Xenopus tropicalis: one gene and its partners. The protein of the gene in region 2 purifies or fractionates together with the protein of the main gene of each other region. This does not show direct contact. Links are inferred from orthologs where the notes say so. Each region holds a gene or a part of one and is shown on either strand. Other genes may lie near its edges.

Evidence for each region.
Region 1: the proteins of znf644 (region 2) and adnp purify together in Homo sapiens (affinity purification with mass spectrometry; 3 studies listed by BioGRID and IntAct, with this or other methods). This does not show direct contact. The link is inferred for Xenopus tropicalis from reciprocal best matches to the Homo sapiens genes ZNF644 and ADNP.
Region 3: the proteins of znf644 (region 2) and cbx3 purify together in Homo sapiens (affinity purification with mass spectrometry; 3 studies listed by BioGRID and IntAct, with this or other methods). This does not show direct contact. The link is inferred for Xenopus tropicalis from reciprocal best matches to the Homo sapiens genes ZNF644 and CBX3.

The regions. Positions count from the first base shown.
Region 1 is NC_030686.2:35,648,298-35,655,667, reverse strand, and holds the start of adnp (activity-dependent neuroprotector homeobox protein), read right to left. Parts: upstream 4,683-7,370; 5' UTR 4,354-4,682; intron 3,557-4,353; exon of another isoform or gene 3,459-3,556; intron 2,345-3,458; 5' UTR 2,208-2,344; intron 1-2,207.
Region 2 is NC_030680.2:105,030,024-105,036,725, forward strand, and holds part of znf644 (zinc finger protein 644), read left to right. Parts: coding exon 1-1,814; intron 1,815-3,049; coding exon 3,050-3,628; intron 3,629-6,702.
Region 3 is NC_030682.2:41,662,129-41,669,539, forward strand, and holds the start of cbx3 (chromobox protein homolog 3), read left to right. Parts: upstream 1-2,634; 5' UTR 2,635-2,680; intron 2,681-3,528; exon of another isoform or gene 3,529-3,552; coding exon of another isoform or gene 3,553-3,602; intron 3,603-5,936; coding exon of another isoform or gene 5,937-6,042; intron 6,043-6,478; exon of another isoform or gene 6,479-6,493; coding exon of another isoform or gene 6,494-6,508; intron 6,509-6,649; coding exon of another isoform or gene 6,650-6,652; coding exon 6,653-6,789; intron 6,790-7,411.

The DNA of each region.
Region 1 (7,370 bases), on a different chromosome or scaffold from region 2:
CGGAGGCAAATTCACTGAAAGTGCCATGTAGATCTCATTTTCTTTTATTTTTTAAAGGGAATGAAAGCCATGTGATTCTACCTACCTATTATTGGGCTGCTGTATACAGTAGGATACACACCATAAAAGTGAAGATAAATACAACGATAATCCTTAAAATTACTTCTTTGTAAAGTGTAAGTATATTTTCTACCCAACTAGTCTCAGCTGAGATCCTATTCAATGAAAAATAACTATATGGCCCTCAAGTATGTGTTCTGCACAAGCATATACAAGGCTGATCTAGGGTTTTGGTTCAAATGATGTTCTGAAGCAGGGGTCAACAATAGTTATGGGGCTATCAGAGAGGGGCTAGATTTTTCCTACCCTAGGCCGTTCAAGGTGCCAATGTGTTGTGCCAACCCCTTCTTGATCACAAACATATACACACACACACATATATAAATGCACATATATAGGGTTTTGTGATTAACAAGGGGTTGGGATATATATATTATAAACACACACATATATAAATATATGTTTCTGATTCCTCAAGCTACCATGTCTGCTTCAGACAACCAACAATGTTGTGTCATTAATGCACTGCAAGGCAGAAAATGATGTTGGGTTGAGAAACTCAGGGATAAACCTTTAAATAATAATGAACCGTAAGAAATAAGACTATTTGTAAAATAACAATTACACAGTCACAAGATTTTTCTTTTTAATAATACCAACAGTTCCCCCTTTTGAGCATGGTCAACCTGTCTTAAGCACAGGCCTACATGTGATCACAAGGTAAAGTATAAGCCCTGAATCTGCTGTGCATGGAATGTGTTCCAGCCTTATACAGCTTAACCAAACTACAGGACACCAGTCTGTACATGTCCTAAACCAAAGAGCCAACAATGTGCCGCTAACTTTGCCAAAATAAGCCTCAGCAATAAACTCATTATGTCATCTGTCAGTCACAGAGACCTCAGCATACAAAAACGCACAAGGGCCTCTAGAACCGATGCCCTATGGCAAAATATTGAGGGGTACAGATGTGACACAAACATGTACTGTTACTAAATTAGGTTGGCGAAATATAGAAACATATTCCTTATAGCATTTTAGCTTTGCCTAACCATGGTGATTTCAATATTGCAGACATAAGCGATGTTCGGGGTTGCTTCCACAAGCTGGACCAGATATCCAATTTGTAAAAGGATGTCATCCAAAGCTGAAGCTGTGGGTTCATGCTGCTTTGTATTTACAGAATTTTATATAAAATATCCGGCCAACCATTTACAGTTTCCATGGCTTTTGAAAAATAAGGACACATCTGACAGGCTATGTAGACAAGCAAGGCTGTTACTAGTATGCTATACACAGGGAATGTTTTAAGGGTTGAATTATTTTCATATGCTCCTCACCAGTGTTAGTTAGGGGACACTGACTAAAGCCAACAGGCAGAAACAAGTAAGCCTTACATATACAGTACATTAAAGGGGAACTCCACCAAAAAAACATGTTGTGCATAATGAAAGTAAAAGGTAATACTAAGCAACATTTAGGAAAGGAAACCTATTTGCCGGGGATGTCAAAAATGTTAGACACACCTCAGTGAACAGAATTCTTAGATTTGCTTCCCAGTTGGTGTTCCTGTCAGAAAAACAATTGCACTGCCCCATGAAAACCCAAGAGCCATGCACAGATATTACTAACAATAATCTGCAGCTGGGGCAGGCTCATGAGCAACAGAGTCAACTTTTCTGATTTTACTCTGCTTTGTATGTGTCTCCTTTATGTTAAAACATAACTTATCACAGGCAACACCAGACTGTTTATATTCTCTGCACTACTGGTTATCATATGTAAAAACGTGGCAGAAACTAGCTGGTAACAGACCTGCAGGATGGCTGACGCAGAACAAAAATGGATCAACACATACAGCTTTCAACATTAATAACATTTACACATAACTTTTAAAACTAATGAAATCAGGAATGCATGTATTTTGAAAAGTTAAGTTATATTTTCTTTTATTAGTCAAAAGAACTGTTTTTCAGTAGTAATTAACTTTAAAGCATGGTTACACAGTTGATAAATAATGATGGTTACTAAAGACACTTCACTCCATGGGTTCCAGGGTCCTCTAACATGCCATGCAAAAACACAGTCCTTACTACCATCCTTCTTTTCTAAAAGCTTAGAGGTAGAAAGGAGAAATGAAAACAAACCTTTTATGTCAAAATAAAGTTAAGGAAGATTGAAATGATGATCCGAGCGCCAGTTTGTTGCTGTATGTCCCACACAGTGCAAGGTGCTGCAGATAGGAATCCAAGGAAAAAGTGTAAGTGCCAATGAATTTATCCACCTGTAGAGAGAAAATGATTGAATTTTAAGCACATGGTATTTTCTTAAAAACTACAGTACCCTCTGATTCTACTCTTCCCCTCTATAGTGCCACTTACTGGGTTAGTGCTTTGATACATTAGTCTATCAGTTCAGTTATGTTTCACCCCCTTCCCAGGGCCACCCTCTTTATAATTTGGGAGTTCTGTTTCTGCACAAGTTGCACAAAACGTTGAACCCGAAAAATGCTAAAAGTAAGGTAAGGTGTTGTTATTGAATACACTATACCATGCTCTACACTAGTGATGGGCAAAACCTGAACAAACAAGGGATAAGTTAGTGGTAAATAACTAGCTGGCATAATCTGATGTGAGGTGCATAGCCCTAATGGACACAAGGAGTAAAGTAAATTGCCATGAGTAAGAAAAGGCACCAATTTGACAAGTCAGTTTTGTGACAGGGGGGCTATACCCAGGTATCCAAAGTATAGTTTTTAAGGTGTTGCTGAACCATCACTAGCAGCCTTTAGCAGAGATGCTGGGAACTGTAGCACTCAGAAGGTCCCAAGCAGTGCATCCATGCTCTACACTAGTGATGGGCAAAACCTGAACAAACAAGGGATAAGTTAGAGCCTGCACCTAGAAGCACCAGAGGGGCCTAGGGAATGTGGGAGTGAATCACTGGCTCTCTGCACAAGCAGTGCATAATGCTGCTGTCATGGGCCCTGCCGCATTCCACTCCCAAACCTATAGGAGGCGCTGTGCAGCAGCTTCCAGTTTTGCTTCAGTCTACCCATCCCCCCACCCCAGCGCCTTACCCGGCGCACAGCAAGCGCCCCCTACTGGAATGTGAGGCGCCATTTTCTAGCTGCAGTGCATCTTGGGTGGAGGCTGCCTGTTATTTTTTTTATTCCCCTTTTTCCCCCCTGCCACAGCTCGCAGCCGTGCAAATAGAGAAAACAAACAGCGCTAAAGTGCATGACTAATGCGAAGCCATCACTGTGACAGCAGGCCATGTGCAGCGCAGGAAAACACCGGCAGCAGTTCGGATCGAGCGCCTTTGTGATGGACCCCCACTACGGGGAGTGGTGCAGCCCACCTGCCGCTAAACCCTAGCGCCGGCCAGCCCATGTGTACCTGGGGAGAGGGGAGCATGCTGGTTTAAAGGTTCCTCCTACAGGATCGCGCCTTTTTGCAGCAGAAGCAGCCAGACAAGGGAGGGTGGGGGCAGCCCCTATCCCCACCCCCTCCCATATATTAACCCTTTGCCTTCATGCCACTGGGATGCCCGAGGTACGGCCCTCCGGCTTCATAACTGCACGCAATACGAAGTTCTATTTATGTAGCATGGCAGCGCCAACCCCATGCCCCCCGCTGCACCCACAGCCGGATCCTGTGCCCCTCCATGCCCGGCACCCCTCTAGCCGAGCTCCCACCGGCACTGCATGTCAGGCTGGAACTCCCCAGCAGCAGGGTGCCCACCCACACATCCCATTGGGGCACCCCAGCTAGTGGCAATGGGGGCAACAGGACTCATACTGGCACCTCCCCCATCCCTACACCCAAAGTAACAAGTCTGTCCCCACAACCATCATTATCCGCATCCAATCAGAGCTGCCCGGCACAGATGTGAGTGCTCAGTACAATAGCCAGGTATGCCCCCTGCCCACTGGGCCCATCAGCCTGCCTATCTGTCCCCACACTATCTCCATCCCCTATTTGTGTCCCTCACACTCTCTGCACTTCCACCAACTCCATTGTGCCCCGCACTTCCTGCAGCCCTCAGTGTCTCCCCAATCCTTAATAACTTCCATCTGTTCCTCACACCACCAGTAACTTTATTATCCGTAACTAGCTCTGCTCTACCCCCTGTCACCCCCCCCAATTCCTGAACTATAAATCCCATCATCCTCTATAGGGGGGATCTGGGAGTTCTAGTTCTACCTCACGTTAGGCACTCCGACTTCATGAGAAGATGCACCCCAACATACCCACCCTGTAACCATTACGCCGCTCACGGCCCCAGACATACCTGAGCCGGGGGGTTGCTTGTCAGCCCGAGGCGGTGGGCAGCCTATGGCCCCTTGGGATATGGGGGTGCCAGGCAATGCGCCTGAGCATGAGCCCCGTGTTTGTGTGTGGGAAGGGGGTGGAGTCAGTTCCCGGTGCCGGTGGCTGCAGCTGTGACTCCGCCGGGTGCACTTCCTCCTCCTGCAGACAATACAGCACGGCGGCGGCAGCGGCTCCGATCCTGCCCTGGCCAAAATGGCGGCCGCGAAGGAGCGGAAGTGACGTCAGCGCTCATTAGCATGAAGGAGGGGTGGGGGGACTCATTGTCCGGAGCTGGCGGGAGCCCGGGAAAAAACAAATACTCCACTGCAGCCGCGCACCTGGGGACCGGGGAGATGGGCATGCACAAAGGGGATCTTGTCCAGCAGGAATTTGGGGGTGAAAGAGAAAATCGGGTCACCAAGATAATCTCCCTCTCACCGCTAGGGGGCGCCTTTTGCGGACGGATACTTCAAAGACAGAAAAATTACAGTGGGAATGCGCGGTGTTCTTGGTATCCCTTCGCCACCGGCACTATTATGGGTTTGGTCACGTGGTGCTGGGTTCTCAGTGCTGCAGCCATGTGGTTTGGGTGGTGTGGAGGGAAGAGATTGGTAGGGCAGCTCCCTGACTGGGTGCCAATTTCATTGCTACTGGCACTATATCAGGAGCAAGAAGTAAGCATCCCATGAGTTACACTTCTGTGGAAAGAGGCTCATTGGGAAACTAAGTTGGCCACAGTAATGGCTGCCAAGGACTGCCAATTTACAATGGTCTCTTTGGAGGGAGGTGACATCTTCCAGCCAGTGGTCACTGTAGTTCTTGAGGATCTAACAAATGACAAGTAAAATCCCTTAGCTAGGTATTATGGTGCCAATATAGTAGGTACCACAGCATCCCTCTGGCAGTTGCAAAGCATCAGCACCTTTAGCAGAACTGATTGCTAGTTAGTAACCCATTGTGCATATAGGTGCCCTCAAAGCCAATTAGCTGCTTTCTATGGTCAACAGCCAAGCATTAAAGTCATTCTCTGATACAATCAGGACCCTATTTCATGGTATGTTTGGGGACCTGGAATATTTTCTTTCAACTAAAGTAGTTTTGGTTTGCCATTGCCCTTCTATTCTTGGGGCTTCTGATTTTCTAGACTAAAGGTAACAATACACATGCCTATTTAAGTTGCCAATTTCAGACCAATTTAGCAGCGCATCTGTATGGGCACTACCAACAGGCCTATTTATTATAAAAAAAAATAGGCAAATGTATTTAAGCATTTGATTGAATTGATTGAAAAATTAATTGAAATTATTGAAAAATGAAGACAACTTAATTCAAAGGACCAATAACCCTAAACATGATTAATCTGACTTCAAGCCTTTTATTTAATTCCAGTGTTTGCCGTCAGCTCCACTGTGTTGCAGTCTTTTATGTGTTGTCTAAACAATGCCCCACCCAGCCTATAATGTTCAGTGGATCTTTACGTGATACATATTCATAAACTGACTTAAATATAATAAAGTACAGTTCAAGTATATATTTAATGCAATAAACCAACAGTTACCATCACCAACCAGTATATTAAAAAAACAAAAAAATAAAATTATATATTACTTAAAATTGTACTCACAATTAAAGAAGATTATACAAAATTTAATAAAATCATGAATGTCCCAATCAACAGCTTAACACATACAAGCAATTGATAAAGTTCATCAGTGAAGAAGGAAAGGTAATACAGAAAAAAATCCAGTTCATCCAGGAATATAGTGGGCACCAACACATATCTTGATTGCTGATCAGAATAATCCAGACCCACCAGCAAGTACAGTCTCAGTTCCTATATTGTCCCCTAGTTTTGTGGGATTGCTTAGAATACCCAAGTTCTCATAACTAATGAGGCTCTCTTTCCCTCTGCCATCTTAATGATGGCTAAACTGACAGCATATGGTGCAGTATTCCTTTATGGTGCCACTGCTTATGCCTCTTACCCCAGTTAATTTCAACAGACCTTACCTTTAGGACTCTTTTACTCTGAGGTAGTGCTGTTCTCCCCGGTGGCCATATATTTCATCCCAGCCATTGGGTTGCACACATAATCGTTCACCATTCCAGTAGTGCCGAGTCCCGTGATCCATTGCTCTTTATCACACAACTCCTTATCTCACTGTGGGGATCACTTTAAGTGGCAATTCACTTTACCTGTGGGTTAAAGTGTCTCCTGATTGGTCTGTAATCATAGTCACAGACTGAATAAAAAGCCCTGAAAAGGCAACTTTAGCCACTTTCAATTATAAAGGACTAGTATCTTTAGCTTTTGGCTACCCACCTCACATTGTTATTTTCAGTAGATTTATTATGTCCACTGCAACTCCTGTTATTCCAATAGGTTTCACTTTGTTCAAAATATTCCCCAAAAGCCCTCCAAGAAATTCCACAGGTATGCAGCGAATCAAGGATTTTGGTCACATGACTTTAAACACAAGGTTTTTTTTGTTCATAATTGATGCAATATTTTTCCCTTAAATTTTAATTCACAAACTGAAAATTACAATCGCTTGGGCCTTGGTCAAAAATAAATTTTTCTTGGAAGATTAGGTATTTGGCCAAAAATGATGGATTCAATGCATTAAAAAATATTGTTTCTAAAACGAGCAATATTTTTGACAGAACAAACTAAGGGGGTAATTTATCAAAACTTACATTTGTGTAATTTGTGCGAATGTCAAAACCTTGTATGTAAAAAATAGTTTGCCCAAGATAGCTACCATTTATTTCTGTGACCTTGCAAGCTTTCTAGATGCAAAAGTTTTACATCTGAGTTCACATTTTTTATCTTTAAAAATATTGAAAATTTGCGTTTTTTTTTCTCTCTAATAAAACATTTTTTAAATTCTGCTAATAGATTATGCAGTGTTGTACTGTTCCAAATTCAATTCAATGTTCCAAACTGAAAATACATTTATGGGACCTGTTATCCAGAATGCTTGGGACCTGGGATTT
Region 2 (6,702 bases):
GTCACCACCAACTTGCACTAATGATCAAGAGCCATCATTTTATCCTTGCACAAAATGCAATGTAAATTTTAGGGAGAAGAAACATCTTCATAGACATATGATGTATCATTTGGATGGGAATAATCACTTTCGGCATCTTAATGTTCCAAGGCCATATGCTTGTAGAGAATGTGGGAGAACATTTAGAGACCGTAATTCACTTCTTAAACATATGATTATCCACCAGGAACGACGGCAGAAGCTAATGGAGGAGATAAGAGAATTGAAGGAACTTCAGGATGAAGGCCGAAGTGCGAGACTGCAGTGCCCTCAATGTGTATTTGGAACAAACTGTCCAAAGACATTTGTGCAGCATGCCAAAACCCACGAGAAAGATAAAAGGTACTATTGCTGTGAAGAATGCAACTTTATGGCAGTTAGTGAAAATGAACTGGAGTGCCACAGAAGTGCTGCACACGGAGCAGTGGTAAAATGTCCAAGTCTCACTTCAGATATACCCCAGAGAAAAGGTATTAAAAAAGCCTCATTAAAAAATTCTCTTTTTCTTTCATCCAAAAAATCTGCAACTTATATCTGTAAGATGTGCCCATTTGCTGCTTCTACTAGAAACAATTTAAAAAAACACATTGAATATGTTCATCAGTCATCTTCCCCTGATCACTTTAATGGTTCCCTTTTACAGAATTTCACAGATTCTGAACTTCTAAGTGTTGGTAAGGAAACAAAACACATTATAAAACCTTCCTCTTCATTTCCAAAGAATTCTGTCTTAAAACAGGATATGAAAAGCCATTATGGTTCTGTATCCCAAACAAACAGTTTTACAAAGTTGCATCGAAAGCACAAAATACAAAAAGCAAGGAAAAGTGCTGCTCAGTCTGTAGTTTGTAGTCCATCCATTTCCCCAAATAAATCCCTTCTCTTTACTAGCAATGACCAAAAACATAGGTATTATCAACAAATTACAAAACCGAAATATGCCAGAGCGAATCATGGCTACAGATACGGTCAGAATTTCAAAATGTTAAAGAAGTCTAATGATTTGTATCCATTAAATTTAAAAAAGGAAGATTCATCTAGTACTTTAGAGTTGCTTTCAGCATCCACTGATCTTCAGAATGATTGCTCGATTATAGATGCTGAGTCTTTACAGCCAAGGAAATTTGTTGCTTTTAAAGATCACAGGCGGGTAGCTGTAGAAAAGGTGCTTAAACCAGAAAATGAACATTCAGCCACTGAAGAAAGTTTAGACTGTTATCCAGATTTCCTTAAAAAAATGACTTTTGTTGTCCTGAAAAAACTTCACCCCTCTGAACAAAAAGATGAATATGATTCATGGGAAAATGATGAAATATATGAATATACAGAACCTCCTGATGGACCTTATAATACAGGAAAGCAATCAGTTTATCCTGTATTCAAGGAGAAATTGAACGATGAGCATGGTGATGAATCCACCCTGCACTATAATAGCAATGATGGTTTTTACTTTGAGTATTATGAAGATGGGGAGGGGGATGTATTTATACAAGACATGCCTGGTGCTAATCATCTTGAAAATGATGACTCTGTGCTGCAAGAGCATAGTGCTATATTCCATTGGAGTGATTTGTCTCTGGAAAAGAAAAATTGTCCTTATTGCCCTGCAACCTTTGAAACTGGGGTTGGACTGTCAAATCATGTTCGTGGGCATCTTCACAGAGCAGGATTGACGTATGAAGCTAGACATGTGGTGTCACCAGAACAGATTGCAACTAGTGATAAAATGCAGCACTTTAAGAGAACTGGAACACCAACGAAACGAGTTCGAAAAGGTATGAATGAACTTGACTGGAGTGTTTGAATGGATTGCCTTGATTTTTGGTTTATTTGTGGTTCCCCCAGTTTATAATGCATAATATATTAGATTTTACTATTTCCTAGAATTTACACCATTTTTTTCTGCACCTCTAAAAACAAGAAATGGGGGTGTTGTTCATTTGTAGTTTTCCTGATGACTAAATTGTCAGAATTTACAGGTACTCAGATACACTTCAACTACACCACTACACTTCACAAAATGTAATGTCTTTGCAAAACAGTTTCTTGAAGTAACTTTTGAGACATGGTATCTATTATATGTTTAAACTACAGCTTTCACTTTTTTAGTTCCTGTGTGTCTTCAGCTCATACATGAGCTGATCCCCTTGGTTCGCACTCATTCGTTGAACATGTGGTTGCAAAGATTTTTCTTTCTGGCATAGGGCTGAACTTACAAATTAAAGGTAGACTGGAAGGAATTGGTCTTTTTGTGTAGCCCCTGTCAGTTTACATTAGAAGATAACTCCTCCAGCCATTCCATTGGGAGGCATTGGTAGATGAGATTTTCTGCCCAGGCTGACCAGTTCTTCTCTGCATGGTAGTCTATTATAAACCTGCCTTCCAAGCTTTCCGCACAGAGTAATGTTTAAGTAATTTCGCTCCTAACATTGTCACTGAAGAGAAAAAAGAAAAACCTTTAAAAAGGTTTATGTACTTAAAAATTAAAAAGGACTGTTATGATACTTTTATGTTGTAAGTAGAGGAAAAATGTGTGTTTTATGCTTGTATACAGTCCAAGCTGTATACTCTATCCAAGCCAAACATTACTGCCTGGGTACCATAAGATAAATAATGTAAGCATAAGGCGATATTACTAGAAACTTGAAAATATATTTTATAAAAAGAAATGTTATTCTACAAGTTAAAGGAATTGTTTTGTACTGCGGGGCCTTAGTCAGGGTTAACAATCTATCAGCCCTACCCTGGGGCCTTTGTTTGTGGCACCCTCATGAAGGCTCAAAAATAGGGTGCAATTTTGTTACTTACTAATGCACTAGCTTTTTGAATACATTTTTTTGTTCTAGTACTGAGTTGTGCCTAGTGTGTGTGCTTTAGTAGTCACACCCTTATATTATCCTGGTTTAACAACAAAAATAATAAACATAGACTTCTAATTTACTTCTTAGTAGACTGCTAAATATTTTGAAACAAATGTAATGTAATGTTTGTTTTCATGCTGTTTTTTTAGCAATAGAAAAATCAGAAAGTCCGTCCGAACATACCTGTGCACTGTGTGGAGGATGGTTTGATACTAAAATCGGATTATCAAATCATGTTCGTGGGCATTTAAAAAGAATTGGCAAAACTAAGTGGGATGCAAACAAGTCACCAATCTGTGTTCTTAATGAAATGCTGCAAAATGAAGAAAAATATGAACAAATATTGAAAGCACTGAGTAACAGACGTCCAGTTCACAAACCATTTATAGCTCAGAAACCTTCCAGTAACAATTCAGCTAGCACTGCTTTGCCTCTTGAAGCTCGCCATAATGGCTTAAAGCTTGGAGCAACATCAGATGTAGAGGGATTGCCTTTATCAAATGAATGTAATAAGGCAAACATTGATGCTGACAAAGATCAACCCTTTTCACTAATTGAACTGCTTAAAATGAAAAGATTGGGTCAAGGAAAGAATGTAGAACATTCCGCTCAAAAGATCAGTCAAACTGCAAGAAAAAGGTTCATTCAAAAATGCCTTCATCCACTAAATGAAGACTGTTCGTCGATGTGTAATCAGCACAAATCAATGGACTATGCTATGCATGCAGGTAATTTTTTTTTTTTAAATTAACCATTGGCATATCCCATAAGTTTTTTTTTTTTTACCAGTTTAAATTCAACTTTCTGTAGTTTTTCAGAGCTGCTGTGGGAGAAGAAGGTAGTTAATCACATTACCGGTTCACAGATAAACCCTTTTGTATAATGGACTATTTTCCAGTATCCCTTCTGCAGGCTTTGAGAAGTTTTTTTTATGCAGAATTCATTTTCTCAAATTTAAACAAACTCTTCTGATTACAACGGGTGAAAAGGAAGGTAGTAAAAGTAAAAACTGAACTTTGATCAATTAGCGCTTTATAATAGAAAAAATAGGCAGAATACATTTTTGATGCCAAGTCCTATTTATTGCTTTCACGTTGAACAAAGAAGGCAGTCAACTTGCTATAGAAGTGTCCAAGGCAACAAATAAAGCACATTGTTTCACCCTGGCTTTTAGACTCCCCACAAACTGCGCAGACTTGTGGCTTTAGCAAGCTAAAATATTTTTATTTCATCTACAGTTCTGTTCAGTTTTTGGCTTTGTAATTACAGAATCTGTTAAAGTAGGAACAGAAAGCTGTAGAATAAATCAAAGATAGAGATAGTAAATCAAATGTTTAGAAACTAGAAATTCTACTTTATTCCAAATTAACAAATTCTTGTTTTGTTAACTTCAGAGCTGATTTTTTTCCTTCTTTGATAAGTAAAACTAGTTTGTTGATCATTTGCTTTGCACAAAGAATTTTGCAAGAAACTTCAGATCATTAACTTTCATTACTGCTTGCGCATCCAGAGTAATGAATATAAAAGGCATTGAATACAATGTTTTGTTTAACAGCTGTTTGGTGCTGTGTTTTACCACCTTTTCTCCCAGCCTTCATCAGCAGCCTAATTTAGTACAGAGCCTTTTACAGTCTTGTGGGTAAAACACTTTAATTACCACAGTGTCAACTAGAGTTTTTATTCTGTTCAGAGTAACAGGAAGCTTAAAAAAAATCTATATATGTATATAGTTTATAACAGGTTGTCTTTTGGGCATTGCATTTTAAGTTGAAATTAGCAGAAGTTTTAATGTTTATTGCTGCTACATACATATGTAGTTCTCTCTATATAAATTAGGTTTTTGGTGATACCTTATTATATACTTTAGGGCATGGCTGTCCATCTGGAAACCCACAGTTTTGATGCTGCTATTCAAGCTGTTTCATGCCTGCAGCACGCCTATGGGCTCCAAAAGACAGTATTTTTTTATGGAGGCATGGGACCTATTATCCAGAATTCTCAGGACCTGGGGTTTTCCAGATAAGGGATCTTTCCATATTTTAAATCTCCATACCTTAAGTCTACTAAAAAATCATTTAAACACTTAATAAACCCAATAGTATTGTCTTGCTTCTAATAAGAATTATATATTAGTTGGGATAATGTGCAAGGTACTTTTTTGTTATTACAGGAAAAAAAAAATATTTAATATAAAATATTTTAATTTTTAAAAATTGAATTATTTGGTTATAATGGAGTCTATGGGAGATTGGCCTTTCCATATTTCGTAGCTTTTTGTCTAATGGGTTTCCAGATCTAACAAAAATATAATTGATCAGGTAATCAATACAGCAAGTAGGCTGTGGGTTTATCAACTAGATACTGTGCAGTTTGTACATCAACATGTATTTATAAAATGCCAACATATTCTGCATCATTTTAGAATAAATTGGTGTATACATTAGCTATATATTAAAAAAAAAAAACCATGAAACCAGTCACCAGTACAAGATGTAAAGAGGGCCCTCCCCAAAATAGCTTACAATCTTGCCATATTTCTCTGATCTAATCAGTCAACCCCTTCTGCTGATTGAAGAAAATTATGTTTATAGAAGTAAGCAGAGTGGCATCTATTTGAATGGGTAAACTTTAGGTCATATGGAGGGAGGTATATGAAAGAGTTTGTCATCGAGGAATCCGTTAAAAAGTATGATATACCTGAACCTCCATTACAAAATTAAATAATTTTAGTTGTTGGAGGCAAAGCACTGATAAATCTGTATATATGCTATCCCAGTCATAAAGCAAGACAGTATGTATGTATATCTTTATTTATAAAGCGCTACCTATGTACGCAGTGCTGTACAGTTGTATATATGTTGTTTGCTAGAAAGCACATAGCAGCATACATATGAGATAATGGATGCCTTTATGCAAGCATGAAAAGGTTTACAAACATTATAAGTTGTTTTCTGGCAGAATTAAAAAAAAAAAAAAAAAACTATATAAAAAGGGCCAAAAGCAGGTCAATAAGTATGCTTTTTGATGAGCCGATGGCTAAATGGAGAGACTTCCTTACTATTATTCTGGATAACATCAGCAAGTAAAAAGGAGCACCACACACTAGCCAACATGGTGTATTGGCAGGTGAAATGAGACCTTTCTGATGACTGAAACAACCAATATCCATAGTACTATGGATATTGTTCTGCATTGGTGGGTCATCATACATGTGCCAATAATTGTTTTGTTTTGTACAATGTTTCTGGTAGGTATATGGCCAGTATGAAAATGTTCGTGCATTCAGGTTCACAAGACCATTATTGTAAAATGTTGGGCAGTATTTGAAAACACATTCTTTCATTGTTGCACTTGGTAGTTAATTTGAGGGTTTTACTGTTAGGGAATTGGCACATGGAACAAATCAGAATGCCTTGTAGGCCAAGTGGTTTCCAGCTGAGCAGGCGAGTGATAAAAAGATCTGAAATGCCACTCATTTGTTTAAGTTTCAACAGGCCATGCCTGCATTAGTTAGCAATTTCAAGTAGCATTCTGGGGTGATTCTGAGTATCTTGTCTCTTACCTGCTGAGCTAAAAATCCCTTAGGCAAAAAAAAAAACTAATTTGCCTTGTGTACCCTTAACCTTCAGATGCTTTGGCTTAAGTGCAAAGATGAAATCATGTGCCATGGAACTTGCAATGCCATCTCCTTACGTAAAAGTGTCAATGGGTTAGTTTAACATGTTGCCTTGACATGTATATTGACACTCCTAACTGGGTTATGCATAAGGCCACATTACAAAACCCTGACTGATAGCTGATT
Region 3 (7,411 bases), on a different chromosome or scaffold from region 2:
AATCATATTAGTCACGATAATATCGTATTGGCGATCTGAAAATCACGGAATTTTCATACCAAACCATTGCAAACAGCGGCAGGGCCTTTCCGAATTTTTCACGCGGACACGCAAAAAGTCGCGCAAGCGCGAAAAAACGGCGAGAATACGCTCGGAGCATTTGCATGAACGTTCCAAGCATTCGGGTCTTTGTAAATCTCCCCCATAATGTAGAGGCCCTTAATCTTACTGGACCAACGATGAAAGGTGGTTGGCAGTCCAAGGTCATTATTGGTGCTGAGGATTGCACATGGCTTTCTGCATTATCAGCACCATGGAAATCTTCTAGTTAATTATGCGCATGCATTGGGCTAGAACAACAGATGTGTGCATGTACCAAGCCTCAGAAACTGTTTTTGATAAAGTGATGTCTTTTTGTTTGTCTTAACTTCCCGTTAAAATTAAAAACCTGCTGCATTATTTTAAAGCACCTGTGAGATGGGATAAATCTTATTTTGTGGCTTTCCTTGTCCTTTAATGACATTAGCAGACACAGAATGTATGAATTTGGTGTTATTGGCGCCTTCCATCAGTTTGCTAGGAAGCTTAATTGGTGGTTTGCCACGGTTTTACAGCAAAATTCTGCAGTGCAATTGCACAAAATGTAAATGGTTTACATAAAGGAGAACAAGCTTGTTGCCAACAACAGTGTTAAAAGAAAAAGTGCATTAGTTATATACACCATTGCTTTACAGAAAAGTTGCATGGTTTATTCAGTTAAGAGTCATCTAGGTGACATTTGCATTGAACTTTTTATTCTGCTGGAGCGACCGCTATGCAAGAAGAGTTTGATAAATTGCGCAAAATTCTCTGGCCTCAGTTGCATGCAAAGTCTTTGCTTCAAAGGGCTCTCTTTGCATTTCTGTATAGTTGCACTTTGCACCACTCAGGCCTTCCTGTTCCATACTGAACGCAAATGTAATATTGATGCAGAGGAACCCTGGTGCTGCCATGTACGGACCAGGTGGTAGCTTCAGAGTTCCCTTTAGCACTCTGTGCCGCCTCAGGCATCCATGTTAATGCCGCCCCCTTGCGCTTAGCTTTGTTGCGTCAGTGGGGGGCTGCATTGCTAGTGCGGACAGCCGAAATTCTGATTTAAAAAACAGAAATTCAGCTCCTTAAAGGACAAGGAAAGGCTAAGTCACTTGGGGGTGCCAAAATGTTAGGCACCCCCAAGTGACTTTAATCGCTTACCTTGTACCCCAGGCTGGTGGCCCTGTTAGTAGAAAAGAGCAACGGCCAAGGGTACCTGTAGTGAGCGTTTCCTCCTTCCGGTTTCGTTTTGCAAGTACTACATGACAGGCGCATGCTCAGTAGAGTGAAAAAGCGACTTCTCTGTTAAAGTTCGGCTTTTCACTCTACTGCGCATGCGAAGATGTAAGGAGGAAGCGCTGCATCTACCTCGGGCTGGTGCTGTTCTCTCCGAACAGTGGCACCAGTCAGGGATAAAAGGTAGGCGATTTAAGTAACTTGGGGGTGCCCAACATTTTGGCACCCCCAAGTGACTTTGCCTTTCCTTCTCCTTTAAGTTACCAGGAGTGACTTTTGCTGCCCCTGGTAACTTGCCAGGCTCTGCCGTCTGAGGCGATAGGTGCAGGGGCACAGTTACTGTGAAGCGAGTTTAAAAACTCGCCTCAGGCAGCAGCACCCCCGAAGTTACCAGGGGAGGCAAATAGCCGCTCCTGACAACTTTAGGAGCCAAATTTCTGGTTTTTAAAAGGGAAATTTTGCTGCACTATAGCAGAGATTGCCATGGCACTCTCTACACTAGCGATGTGGCATGCCTGGACCCCCTCCCGTGCTGTAAAGGCATGGTAGGAACCTCCTCAGGTGGCTCAGGGGCAAGAAACACCCCTGGATAGGTGCAGTGCACTTGCATCTAGAGAATAGGTTCCTGACACTCTCATATTAAATGGACAGAATTTTTTTTAGCGCAATTGCATCTAATTTACAGCAAAGTTTGCCTGAAATTGCACTTGGCAGACTGCCCTGCACTTGTAAGCATAAATATTTTCTGTGTAGGTGATGTGACTGCTCAGCTGCCAGTGTATACCTAGAACGTCCAGATGATGAAACGCATACACTGGACAGACAGGGGAGTGCCTTCGTAAAATACACGAAAATGGCGGCCTAGTGAAGTGAAATATGTGTCAATGCCACATATTTCAAGCATTTTTTTTTTTTTTTTATTATTTGCAAACAAAACGACATGTATCAGTCAGACACCTACACGAGGAGCGACAGAGGCGGGCGGAGCCTGGGACCTACCTTTCAACACGTGACTCACTACTATTAAATATATAATTCGGGTTTTCTTTTATCATTAAGACCCTGACTTCATGGGCTCTTCAACTACACCCGTGTAGATTGTACCGGAATTGACATTAACTGCCCTCAAGGCAGGCTGTCCTATTTTGTCAGGGTGCCGCTTCCCTTAGACCCATGGTATTGAAAGAGTTACTGTTCGCGCCAGTAAATTCCCCGCCAGTGTGTTGGTAGGGCCCATTGTTCTGCGCGTCACTCGGGCCCTCCCACTCCTGCGCACATCGGAGCTGCAGGCAGCCGCGGCTTGGAGAGCGTTTCTCGGTGTGAGGGGGACGGAGCAGGAGTCACCGGGTGCTGGTTATCCAAAGAGAGTGAGGTACGGGGATGAGAGAGAGGAATGTTGTACCCGGGGGCATGAGGAGGGAGAGGAGCAGCATGGGAGAAGCACGGCCCGGCAGGGTTGGGGAGGCGGGAAAATTGCTGCTAGTTTGGGAGAGAAGCGGAGGCCTGCTGCAGAGTAGCAGCACAGACCAATGGGTGGGAGGCATTGTGTAAGGGCGGGGAGGCCGTTCTGCAAACATACTGCCTTGTCTTCAATTGCTGCTCACCGCTACCTGGGCTTGTTGGGAGCTGTAGTTCAACGGCAGAAAAAGTCACAACTTTCTATTTCACGTATATATCTTGCCGAATGAAGAGCGGCCCCCTAGCACTTATATGACGCTAGCAGTGTTAGTGGTATTCCGCCAGTATTCCCATGCCCGGTGCAGCGCACAGTAACTCTCACATAGTGCTAGGATGGATACCCCCTGAGTTTCTCTGTATCACTGGGTTTCTTTACAATGAAGCTAATGCTGTTCGGTACGGGGGGTGCGCAGGCGCGAAGGTTCGTGGCCTCTAGGTGGTTAGTAGGGAAAGTAAAGGGTATACAGGGCAATGGCTACCCGGGCTGGACAATCATAGGGAAAGCTCGGTGCCGCTGGTTATAATGGTTTCCAACTGTGCCATGCAGTTTCCCCTGCGACAGTCTAATCTCTAGTTTCCGTGAATGTGTGTTCCTCATCTCCCTCCGGAATACATTCGGTTAATCAATCATGTTGCGGCTCATTCACATGTACGCATGCGTGTTGGAGGGGGTGGGGGATGCTTTTGCTTTCCGGCTTGGGAGGTGAAGCGGCGTAAAACTTTATCTGGATGCACGTTGCGCAGAGCTGCTTTCACGCTAATGTTGTATGGGGGGGCGGGGGGGTTATGGAGTCTCGCACGGCAGTCACAGCAGAAAATTCCTGCCTTTGTTTCTGGTATGGCAGAATTTCGCCTCACGGCAGACCGCTTTCTCATTTCAAGGGACAGTGTATCCCGTGTTTATAGGATTGGCTTAGTGATAAGGGCGTGTGCTGAAAGGAGACTTATCATAACAAATTAAGAATGTACTAGTGAATTATACTTTAAATATAGAAGGATTGTGCTTTAAAATAGTTGTTTCAGACTGATTTATTGAAACATTATACACAGACCCCTCTAGTCCCGCCCATCTGTTCCACTTCCTGCAGGCTGAAATCTCTGGATGTGCAGGGGAACCACTGGCTCTTGGCACACTGCACTGTAGGATAGGAACCTACGCTAGGCGGACCCAATAGGGAACTGAAGTATGTCTTTGCTTGTGAATTCAACTGTTAGGATACTCCCGCCCTTCATTTGAAGCACAGAAGACTGATAGGATCTACATGGAGCTCCAGTAAAGGAGACCTTTTTACAGATAGGATTAATTTTTAGCCCGAAGTGACACCAGCACCATATAGTATTCATAAGTGCCTACAAAATTAGGGGTTTTTCCACTTATCCAATGTCTCATTGAACTTCATTTTTCCCTGTGTTAATTATTTATATTGTTTTATTCTTCTTTGCACTAAACAGGCCAGAATCTTCAGGTAGTCACTTAGAGGTGTTTAGATTAGTCCTTTTTCTGGAGCAATGAATTGCCTTTTGAGTGCTGAACCTGTTCTAATAATCAAATGAAAAACCAGTCTCTTAAGGTTTGGGATAATACCCCATAGTTTCCAGTGAAATTAAATCTCAAGAAAACCTAATTGACAGAGGTTAGGTTTTTATTTTTATCTCTGGAATAAAAATGTGCCAGCCTAGAGCTCTTTAAGTAGCAGTGATACCACAATACTGCACTTTTCCCTGGAATTCCTAGTGTAAACAGACTAGCACAAGCACGGTATACTACCATTGGAAAATTTTTATTAAACTGGACATGTGCAAGTTTGTGCTAGGAATCCTTGGGTAAAGTCTGGCACTTTTTGTGAGAATAGTTGGCCAAAGAAATAATTTTCTAACTTATTGGCACCCTTGTGCTTTAACATTATAACTTACTACATAGCAGGGAGCTAGCACCTAATTGTAAGCATAATACAGTTTGTGTTGGGATAATTTTGATAAGGCTGTGAAAAAGTGGTGCATATTGTCTTTGGAATGGTGCTCACAGTATTAGGGGCTGTTCCTTTACAGAAGAGGAGTGTTTCTATTAGGTTAGGTAGGATCAAGCATAGCAGCTATCAGTGGGCAGTGCTGGCACGGTGTGTACTGTGCTAAGAACTTGTACTGTATGTAATCAGGGAGCAGGAGGCTGGAAATTCTCTCATGTGACCAACAGTCTGAAGTGCCATTTTACACTAATGTTAACAGGAAAGTTTGAAATGGAGAGTACTAATTGCATATACAATTATTGGTTTATATTGATAACTACTGTATTAATAATGCATGTCTTGTAACATATGTTTCTGATATCTAAATGTCTCTTAAAGGGGTAGTGCACCCCAGTGAATAGGGCTTGTGCCAAATGCACTTCTATCTTATTTAAGAAAAACATTCTTGTGATTTCTTGTAGTAAACTGGCACAATCTAAAACAAAGTTGCATTCTACTTCCTGGCTGTATAATTAAGGTCAAAACAGATCTGCGTTCTACTGCTGTTCCTTATCTCTGTCTTACAGGCTGCAGCTGGGCAAGGAATCTTAGTGGGCAACTGATTTGTTTTGACCTTGATTGTAGGGACGGGAACTTTGAATGAAAGGGAACCCAAATGAAAATATCTGCTTTTGTTTTGTGCAAGAAATCTCAATTGTACCAACTAATTGCCCTGCATGTCTTTGCCCTTAAGTTACTTATTCTGCCACAGGCTAGCTGCAGTGAGTCAGACCAGATATAGTCTGTCTGGCTTTAGGCCACAAGGAATTTATTCAACTTAGTGTATGCCTTTTATAGAAAGGCTGCAACTGCAATGGGACCTATATGTAATTCATTAAGCATGCATTTTGTGCATGTTTATCTTAAAGGGGCTGTTTACTTTCCAAACACACTCGAGCTTAGTTTTTTTCTGGTGTACTATGTGAAAACGCTTGAACTGAAATCTGTTTGGAAGGCAAACAGCTTCTTTTTAAAATTGTTTTAGTTATAAACTGATGTGTGGTTAAAAATTTCTACATGCTGTCAGGACCTGATAATGGCTAGACCTTAAAGATGCATTGCATGCTAAAATATGTAACTTTGCTGTTGATGTAGCAGATGTGAGTGTTAACCACCATTTGTACTTGTGAACATTCATTTGTAGAAACTGTTTTTGATTTATAGGTTTGTTTATTTTTGCTGGGCTAATAATCCTAGCAGCCAGGCAGTATTTTGGAAGTCAGAAGTAAAGATGAAGAGTGGAGGACTTCCACAATTAGAAATTAACATGGTAACAATCTGATTTCTAGCTTCTATTTCTAGTATATTATATAGCATATGTGAAGGACTTATGTTGTAAGACAGGCAGTATTGTTTTGAGGGGGGGGGGAGCATCCCTCTCTTTGAGGGCATAAACAATATTACGTGTGCACTTTAGTTTGACATACATACATTATTGTCAAGCAATTATCTGGTTTCACCTTTTAAATAAGTTCTTAAGTGTCCCTTAACTTTAGTGCTCTAATGCTTTCTATGTTAAAGGGAAAATATACCTTATTCTTGACATGTAGAATAAGTAGTATCTGAACTTTCAAATTGTAATAAAATAATATATTTATATTTACAGACATCACCTTTCATTAGGAGGTGATTAATTCTGCAAATTGAAGTCCCTCTGCTTTCCGTAGCGGGTGGTGCACATTCTCTGGGAAGCTGTGGGATTTTCGCAGAATCACTTCACAATGGAACAAAGATGGGTATATTTGCCCTTTAAGCCATTGGTCGAACTATTAAGATGTACTAAATTTTTTTTTTTTTTTTTTTAAATGTACCTTTTGAGTTTCCTTCTTACAAAATAGATATGTATACTTAACCAATATATATTTCTTTTTCCACAGACCATGGGAAAGAAACAGAATGGCAAGGGCAAGAAAGTGGAGGAAGCAGAGCCTGAAGAATTTGTTGTAGAAAAAGTTCTGGACAGACGTGTAGTAAATGGAAAGGTTGAATATTATCTCAAATGGAAAGGTTTCACAGAGTATGTAGTGTTAACATTCAACTTCTACCACAGCATTTTATTGATATTGAACAGTATTTAGAAATTTGATGAAAACATTTTTTAGTATTAGAGATGTTTTTTAAAGGAGAAGGAAAGGCTAAGTCACTTGGGGAAGCCAAAATGTTAACGTTGCTGCTGTTTGCCCCTGAAACTTTCAATAAAGGCATTTTAATTTAAAATGTAAGAGGTGCTGTTCCGGATCGTTTGTACCTGGATATGCCGATGGAATGTGGCCATTGGGAAACCTGCACTGTTACAAACTAAATACAAGGTGTTGTGCTGACTACTACTTCCAAAGGTGCCAAAATGTTAGGCACCCCCAAGTGACTTTAATCGTTTACCTTTTACCGCACCAGCCCTGGGTACCTGCAGTGAGCGCTTCCTTTTTCCTTCTGCCGGGAAAATCCCTGGGCCGGTGCATGCACAGTAGAGTGAAAAGCAGACTTCTTTGTCCAGCTTTTCACTCTACTGCGCAAGCGTGCGAACCAGGAAGAGGAGATGCTCGCAGGTTCGGTTCTCTCCTAACAGGGGCACCAGCCCGGGGTAAAAGGTAAGCAGTTAAAGTCACTTGGGGGTGCCTAACATTTTGGCACCCCCAAGT